2 linked regions of the Drosophila melanogaster genome follow. The main gene of each other region encodes a partner of the protein of the gene in region 2 in a complex. Each region holds a gene or a part of one and is shown on either strand. Other genes may lie near its edges.

What was found.
Region 1: Rrp40 (region 2) and Rrp6 share a complex: the UniProt entries of both Drosophila melanogaster proteins name them as parts of the RNA exosome complex.

The regions. Positions count from the first base shown.
Region 1 is NT_033777.3:14,881,952-14,888,051, reverse strand, and holds Rrp6 (Rrp6), read left to right. Parts: upstream 1-1,805; 5' UTR 1,806-2,109; coding exon 2,110-2,217; intron 2,218-2,291; coding exon 2,292-2,473; intron 2,474-2,585; coding exon 2,586-3,990; intron 3,991-4,228; coding exon 4,229-5,155; intron 5,156-5,247; coding exon 5,248-5,328; 3' UTR 5,329-5,554; downstream 5,555-6,100. Other genes in the region: CG33332 (uncharacterized protein), read right to left, coding at 1-202; CG33331 (uncharacterized protein), read right to left, coding at 442-1,470; CG3631 (uncharacterized protein), read right to left, coding at 5,992-6,100. UniProt on the Drosophila melanogaster protein: Catalytic component of the RNA exosome complex which has 3'->5' exoribonuclease activity and participates in a multitude of cellular RNA processing and degradation events.
Region 2 is NT_033779.5:1,727,190-1,730,308, reverse strand, and holds Rrp40 (ribosomal RNA processing 40), read right to left. Parts: upstream 1,578-3,119; 5' UTR 1,481-1,577; coding exon 782-1,480; 3' UTR 547-781; downstream 1-546. Other genes in the region: CG31937 (uncharacterized protein), read right to left, coding at 1-325; Eno (enolase), read left to right, coding at 2,476-2,663. UniProt on the Drosophila melanogaster protein: Non-catalytic component of the RNA exosome complex which has 3'->5' exoribonuclease activity and participates in a multitude of cellular RNA processing and degradation events.

The DNA of each region.
Region 1 (6,100 bases), on a different chromosome or scaffold from region 2:
GAGGTTGCGTGTAAGGCACAGGTGGCTCCTCCTCATGCTTGCTGCGTTTCTTCTCCTTGTGGCGACGCTTTTCTTTCTTGTGCTTTTTCGACTTCTTCTTTTTGGACTTGTCCACATCTTTGCTGTGCTTCTTAAGCTTCCGTTTCCTTTGCCTTTCATCGCTGGACGAATTGCTATCACTACTATTGTCGTCGCTGGACATGATCTGCAAATACAATTAATGAAATAATAAGTAAACCAAGATATTCCTGAGGTTATAAAGAGGTCCATTGGATGTGAAAAGAGAGAATCCCCAAGAAAACTCAGGTCTTTGGATTGGGCTAAACATTATATTGCAGTTAACAACTTTAAAGCTTAAAAGTATTTAACAAAATGCAGCTGGATGGGACAACTTAGTCGGTAGAATGATTGGCAGCCAGGGGATTAACCCGAAAAATAAACCTAAACAGCGAATGTCTTTTGAGCCTTGCGATAGCTATACGCCAATGACTTGAGAATGCCAGCACTGGGAATATTTTTGATCGATTGCGTGACACTGCTGCGCCACACAATGTCGTTGACGGATGCCTGCAGCACCTCCGGAAGCTGGGAGGCCATGGATAGGTGATTCACCACCTGGGTGTAGTCGCCACGACAGGCGGCATTTCGCTGCAATCGCTTCTGAAGCTCTCGGGGCAACTGTCGCAGGTGTTGGCATGTAGCCGATGAGGATTTGTCCTGCTCGAAGATTATGGCTGGTTTCCGGCTCCCTGGTTCCTGGCCCTTCATGTTTACCGCCACATAGTCGGAAAGTTGTCCCAGGGAGGGTTGGTATAGGGCGAAGAAGTCATTGATTTGCGGACTAACTATGTTGTGCACTTTCTGTTTGTTTTCCCCGAAAATCATACGGAAATCGCCCTTGTAACTCAGTCCGGCGATGGTGTGGAAAAGTCCGTAGGCAGTGAACTTCTCTGGTAAAAGTAGCAGAGCCACTTGCAGCGCGGATACAAGATTCCTCTCCAGCGCAGCCTTGAGGGGAGGATTATCAGAAGGATTGACCAGATTCGTCACTGGTTTGTGCAGCCTTCCTGCCAAGTAAAGATGCCGCCAGTCAAGCAGATCCTCCAGCAGCTCCTCCTGCGACACCACGCCGTACTTTATGGTAATGCCCACATCTGGCAGAGGCACCAACGTGTTGCAATAGACACCCGCACCCAAACGCTCCTGATACTTGGCCACAAAGTTCGGTCCCAGGTGCCTAAGGGCGGAATAGTGGTCCGGATGACGGTGCAGGTTCTCCGCATGGAAGCCCCTAGCATCACGAACGCAAAAGACCAGATCCACAACGGTTCCCGGCGGAGGACGCAGGTTGTTTCCATTGCCGACTTTTCCATAGCCTTCCTGCTGTTTGACGCCGGATCCGTAGGCGAACATATAGCTGACACTGCCCAGAGGAAACCGCGCCACCGTGCGTCTGTATAGGTCCAGCATCTTGTGCGTGTTTTACCTCCTAATTGGACTAAACTTAGGCTTTATAATTACTTTTTTTTTAGCACGTAACTCCACTTCTTCTGGATGGAGTTGATGCTTCTCGGTCAAGCTCCTCGCTTTTCGCCGGCGCCGGAGGGGTGTACACACTGGCAATCAGCTGGCTGAAAATTTTGTTCAGGGTTTCACTTGAACAATTTAGCGCCCTCTTGAAAAAATAAAAGAAAAGACCAAATATTTAACAAAGAAAATATTTATTCAGTTTAATTTATATTGAAAGGAATATATATTTAGTTCAATATAATAATAACATTTTGCTTTTAAAAAGAATTTGTAAAGTATTGTTCATCAAAGCAGGTTCTGTTTACGGTTTAACATAACGAAATATCACCATTCCAAATTTGGCTAACATTTGTAAAATACACCTTCATATCGATTTAATTCGATTGCGGTCAGCACCGTTTTAGTGCTATATAGTGATCAAATTTCGCCGCCGGTAGTGTTGACAAACTCCAAATTCAAGCTGTTGTTATTCTCAAAAAAGAAGAAGAGAAAACACGCACATTTTCCACAATCTGTAAAACGACAAAAAATTTGTACGAAAATAACACAAGACATTCGACAAGGAAACACTATACAGACATGCCGCGAACCCCGAAAAGAGTTCACCAGGAGGCCAAAGAGGAATCGGCCCAAGCAGACCAGCCGCCAAAGAAATCCGCTTCAGAAGATGTTGAGGCATTCACAAACGTGGGTAGCAATTCAGCCAGCGTACATAAGTATATTTCAATCCAATCCCTACGTGTTCTGCTCTGACATTCCAGAAAGGGTTCAAGAATGCAATCGCCGCCACAAAAGCCGCTAATGCTTTCCCACAAGGAACAGCCCGCGCCCTTTACCTAAGCTATCCAGGCTACGCACGTGTTATGGAAGACCTGACCCAACGGGTGGTGGCGCTCATCGGGAACGTGCTGCACTCCAAGGACATCAAGGGCGACATCAAAAAGTAAGCTTCTAACCATGACATTATTCGAAATGTTGAAAATACAGCACAGCCATTGAAATCAAAGTTGGTACCTGTATCTGTAAATAACAATAGATCTTTATTCTTTAAACAGACGCCAACCGGAAGAGCAGTTTGAGATGGTGCAGGAGTGCAACGACGTACTGTTCGAGCGCATTACGACTAATCTAGACATTAAAGGTGGTCTGCGAAGAAATACACAACAGGTCGTAGAGGCCCAGGTGGACGTGATGAGCAGCTCCACATCCATAGAGCCCGCAGTAGCTTCCCCACAAACCCAAGGGACTCCAAAGGCAGGCAGCTGGAACAGAACGACAGGAACACCCCAACGCAGCATGGTTTCGGCTCGTCTCTTCACCGCCAAGAACATCGTTCGGCCGCAGACGCAATTTAGGGAGCCGGTGGATAACAGTGCCCAGAATCCGTTTGTTCCAAGACTCAAGGAGAAACCTAATTCTCTTAAACCGCTGGCCCTGCTGCCCGAATACGATGATGCCGGCAATGTCCAATCCTATTTGCATCCCTACGAGTTTGAGCTGCTTAAGTTTCAGCCTCCGGAGGAGCAGTTCCAAAAACAAAAGCCAGTGCTTCCAGCTCTGATGGCAGAAACCGAACTAATGGTGGTTGACACGGTGGAAAAACTGAAGCAGGCATTGGAGGAACTGAGACAAGCGCCCCAGATCGCCATAGATGTGGAGCACCACTCGTATCGCACCTTCATGGGCATCACTTGCCTGGTCCAGATGTCTACTCGCAGCAAAGACTATATTTTTGATACCCTGATCCTACGCGATGATATGCATATACTAAATTTGGTACTCACCGATCCCAAGAAGCTGAAGATACTGCACGGCGCCGATTTGGATATTGAGTGGCTTCAGCGGGACTTATCGTTGTATATCGTCAACATGTTCGACACGCATCGGGCTGCCAAAGCCTTGAATATGGCAAGGTTATCGTTGGCATATTTGCTTAAGCACTATCTGGACTTGGATGTGGACAAGAGCCTGCAACTGGCCGATTGGCGGATGAGACCGCTTCCCCAGCAGCTGGTGGACTACGCTCGTCAGGATACCCACTTTTTGATATACGTTTACGGACGGATGACAAACGATCTGCTGCAGCAGCATGCCGAACCAGGTCTGCTGGGCAGTGTCTATCAACAGAGCACGGATGTCTGCAAGAAGCGTTATAATAAGCCTCACATCGGACCAGAATCCCATTTGGATTTAGTAAGAAAAACGAAGCGCTCTTTCGACAACCGGCAACTGTACGCACTTCGCGGAATCTTCGAGTGGCGCGATGCGACGGCGCGGTCAGAGGACGAGAGTTACGGCTATGTGCTGCCCAATCACATGATGCTGCAAATCGCTGAGAGTCTTCCAAGGGAGATGCAGGGAATCCTCGCCTGCTGCAATCCCATTCCGCCGCTGGTGCGCCAACAGCTGCACACGCTTCACCAGATTGTCCTCAAGGCGCGCGATCAGCCGCTGGTCAAAGTGAGTTTCTTGGCGGTTTCAAGCAGCGCTTGCAACTCGATCAACGTTGGCGCCTATACCGATAATTTTTCATTACCAATTAACTGTAACTAACATTGAAATGAAGAACATGTTCTGAATTCACCTTATAGTTCAATTCATTTCACAACCGCAGGTCAACTAAAATAGGTTTAATGTTACCAAGTGTTGGGGTGGTATATCTAATGTTTAATGTTCTTGACTTTACTTACGATTTTAGCCGATCCTGGAAGCCCACAGTAGTACACAGGCAGCGTTGCCTCCGTCGACCAAAGACTTTAGCAGCAAGCTCTACTGTCCGCACGATTTTTCGCAACTGGAGGAGATTCGCGACGACCTGCCAACGCTGTTGAAACGTAATTCAACTACAGGAAAACTGGAGGTGCCCAATAAGGAGGAGGTTGCCAAAGTAGATCCAACCTTAGCGGCACCAGCCATGGCTCTGTTCGAAAAGCAGTCCAAGCCGACACAAGAAGAGGAACAGCGCTGGGCCCATCTTCGCAAGGAGAGCCAGACAATGCGTATGCCCTACAAACGCTATCTCGCCATCCTACCTCTGATGGTGCAGCTGAAGGCCGATCAGTTGGCCAGGGAGCGAAGTGAGTTGCAAAAGAGGCAATTGTGTCCAGCAGCCCCAACTGTGGAGCAAAACATTAAGCTGGAGGCACACGCCATCGGAAAGGAGGATGATGACATGTACTCCGTCCCGCTGAAGGAACAACTGAAGCGCAAGCACCCACAAGCGAACGTGAAAACAGATCCGGAACAGCAGCCGACTGCTAGCAAGCGACCTCGCAAGGACGAGAATTCACAAACCAAACCGCCGGTAAAGATCGAACCAGTCGAAAAAGTTCAGCAGGCTTTAGGCGAAAGCGATGATGAGGTCGTTGAGGTTCCTATCGAAAGGCAAGCCACAGAGCCACCGAAACCATCACCGGCACAGAACAACCGCAAGCAAAAGAAAAATCAGTTCCAGCGCGGATTCAAGGCCAAGAATCGAGGAAACCACCCGCAGAGCTCCAGTCAGCAGGTTCCGCAGCACAAGGGTACAGGCAACTTTGACTACAAGAACGTGGACTTCCGGCAATTCAAGGGAGGAGCGCAAAGAGCCCGGGGCACAGAAATCAAGCAGCAAATTCGCGGCAAGGTGAGTGCTATGAAAAGTATTAACAAGCTGGCTTAGCTTTTACTGAAACGATCTCTTCACTAAACATTTATAACGCTTGTTTTTTTTTTTAGAACCGTCCCAACAATCGGAACAACAAGCAGTTCAACAAGCTTTTTACATTTAGTAATGTAAGAAAAGAGGGCAAAAAATGAACTGCAATCGTGACGAAGTCTGTAAAATATACATAACTGGTATATATGTGAATTCAATAGTAAGAATGCGAGCAACACGAAAACTGATTGATGAAACTGATGAAGAAATAAACAAGTGTTTATTTTTGATTGTTTATAAATTCTTTTCAAGTTACAAAACTATTTTTTCTGAGCTTTGCAATTTTCTAAAATATTACCTATTAAATAACAACCGTAACTATTCATTAAACTAGACTATCGGATATGTTGTTATGGATCGGTTTGTAGTTCAATATTTAAGAACAGTTTTAAGAGATGGTCATTGAAAAAATATGGGAAAACCAAATAATAATTGGGACGTGGGAAATGTCATGGTAATAGGTTTAAATTTCAAACTTATTTCGTCACAACGAATTTTGTATGATTTAATTCCTAATTGGATGGCATCTCAATTTTTCGAAAACTTTTCTAGCATTCAAACCAATACAAGAAAGGACAAAAGAACTTAATTTAAAATAGGAAAAAACCTGTTTCGGGCATTTAAATATTTGGAAGAAATACAGAAGTAAAACATGGACTAAAATAATACGATAATTTCTCTATCTAACTTTAGCTTAAGTAGGATGTGGAAAGTGAGTTCCTAAAGCTCTAGTGCTGGCCATTAGCCCCAATCTTGAGCTGAAACTACAGAGTTTTGAACATTTTGTCGCCCTCGATGTCCATGCAGTGCTCCACAACAGCATAGACCACCAGAAGTCGTCGCTCCACTCCTTTTTTATGCTTATCCGTAATC
Region 2 (3,119 bases):
CCATTTGAATGACCAGCACGTCCTTGGTGGCCAGCAGTCCGCGAGCTGCAGCTAGGCATTCCTCTTGCACTTGCTCCAATTGCTCCAGTCGCCGGGCACTTAGCACCAATTTCACTCCATGCCTGGCCAAGCTGAGCGCCAAAGCGCGGCCAATTCCGCTCGAGGCACCAGTTATCCAAACCACCTGTCCGCGCATCGACGACAGCGAGACTCCGAAACGGGACTTGTACCACAGGGCCACATTGCAGTCGAGCAGGATCCAGAGGAGCACGTACACGACATAGTACAGCACGAGCAGGAGCAGCAGAAACTCCAGGAAGCTCATCTCGTTGGCTCTGTATGGCACGGCTGGGTCGGAGAAACCTTTGTCCTCTGCCGCAACGGAAGGCACTGAAACCTGTTCTTGGCCACACAGAAATCACTGCGAGCGGGTCTGATCGATCAGCTGTTGGTGGGCACCAGAGGTGACGCAGTGACTGCGGAAAGTAGTCACCTTATCTGACATAAAACCCTTATACTTGGTTTTTGAATGATGCTATATTATTTAAATACCTTTTGGTAGCTAGGTAAGGGTAGTACTATCTTTCTTGAGAGAACATGTAGAGCATAATCCAAGATACGAAAAACGCTTCCATCTGCTCATCTCTGATAGTTTTTTTACGTAAACGAATCAGGGCTTCCAACACACTGCCTTTGCGCCAACATTCACATCAAAATTCAACCCCATCAGTTTGGCTAACCATTTCTTTTTATATAAAAGTAAGTAAACTAAGAACTAATCCTAGGCCTGCAGGAAGTCTCCGAGATTGCCACATATTTTGTCGATTTCCGCACATCCCGATTGCTCCAGCGCTGAAATGGCATTGGCGAGGGCCACGGTTTCTTTCAGGGAATGGGCCTTCAACCATATCCTGCCGTTGACTCCCACAGCGATCTCGTAGGGCAGTTCCCGGGTAAGAGCGGCGAGAACAGGGCAGTTTTCCCGCAGCAGCATCCTTCCCAGATTCAGGCTGCACTTGAAGAAGAATCCATCGGTGAGGACGCCCAGTTTGCCACTTTTGCCCACCGAGTTGACGCAGACCAGCTCCGGTTCAATGTCCGCGCTTGCATTCAGGACTCTCGCGTAAATCAGATCACCGGGGATCAGATCCGGGCGATTCTTCTTGCTGGCCGCCTCAAAGGCGAGATACGATATGGAGGCTGTGTCCGTTGCTCCGATGTCCACGCGGTACAGATCGCCCGCCTTGGCTCGCACAATGCCCAGAATGAGATCCCCGCGTGCCGGGATGTACCTTCTCTGGTAGTTGTCCACCCAGAAGGTGCCGGGTTCCTTGTGTCGAAGTGGGCCCGCCTTGCTAGCCACCACCGTGTCATCCAGACGCCGCAGTCCCGGTCCGAGTATCACCCGCTTGCTCTTGGCCAGCTCCTCAATGGCCGCAATTCGCTCACCGGGCATAACTATTGTGCTGGTCGCGCTCATTTTAATGTTGCTTTTACGATTTGAAAACTCCAAACAAAAAATCCGCGTGTGTCTTTCAAAACATATGGTCAAGTCGAGGACTTTCCAACACTGCCATTGTCAGCCCTGGTCTTAAAGTTAAATTTAACAGTAGTTGTAAAGAACATAAATATTCAAATTATTTTTGCCCCTTCTTATTTTATTATTTTCAAAATGCTTACGATTTTAATTATTAAGATGAACTTAAAAAAGTAACAGAAAAATTATATTTAGTCAAATTGTAATTGTTCTATATTACTGAATGATCTTAAAAATGCAAAGAAAGTTTTAAAGAGCTAACAGCGTGTGGGCGGCAATGTTAACCAACACATATGCAATTTTTTCCCGATCAGCTGTGCTGCTATAAGCATAATCGTACGATTTGTTAAAATCCGCTTTGCATTTATTTGTTCTAATTTATGGCAGCTAAAAAGCGTGACTAACCACAAGTATGTGACTTTGAATGACCCGATTGTCCAGAAACCACGGGAACATTTCATTATCATTGGTTGTTACACTTCTCTTGACGCCATTTGATTGTTTATGCTTTATTAACGAGAGCATTTATTATTATGTAGATAGACATGCAATCCACAGCTACGTGTGGATCCCGATTACTCTAACCTTGTGCGAAGGTCAATTTTCCCCAAAAAATATAGGAAACGTACCAGGGAAAACAACAAAAAAGGGAAAGCGCACCCCCACACTGAAAACCGGCGAGCACCTGGAAACGCATACATATAAAAGGAGAGTAAATGTAAGTGTCCCTCTCTTTTCCACACTTAGAGATGGGCAAAAATACATCGCCTAAGCTGAGCTTTTAAAATTTATGAATATTAAATTTATCATATAGCTTGCAACAGAGCTATAGTTTCATGTAAGGTAACTAAAATATATATTTTAAATGATATTTTTTACTCCTTTATCAAGATACAAATTGGTAGCACTTTCGCCGCCGTCTTTTACACATTCAAGCCATGTCTTGGACCGCTTCAGTTTTCTTGAGGACTTCCACCACTAGCATGAAGTTTCTGCGTCTGCGCTGGCCTCTCCCCAGAATTCCCCAGAATAAATCGGCAAACGTTGCGCCGCGTTTCAGAAGCAAATCAGCAGTCAGCCAGCTCTCATCTGGATTTAAATTTGTGCAGATCCGCAAAAGTACTTGGTATGTATATTGCTAGACTCTTGGTGTGTGCTTGTGCATCCAGCTTAGGGAAAATATTTAATTGTTTTATCTGCGAACTTCACAAAGATCACCCCAATCGAAAGGGCTTGAAAATCGAGCGTTTTTTGCGAGCGATATCCGCGCGATTATCTAACAAATGGTGCTGTGCAAATTTTCAAGTGTCTCGTTTACGTATATTTCCAATCGATTTAATTGCACAAATCTAATAATTTCAATTGACAGGCATTTGTTGTATCGCTGTAGGGAGATACTTCCGTTTTTCGCAACTTTTCCACGTACTGCGGCTTCGCTGGACGCCTCACTTTGGGTCTGACCTTTAAAAGTAGCTTAGAGGTCATTCGGTTGTTCGGCGAGAGCAAACTGAAAACTCTCCCACTGAGATAAGCGGAAAAGCGGGAAATGCCGCCAGTGTCAGTGACTCTAAATTATTATAGA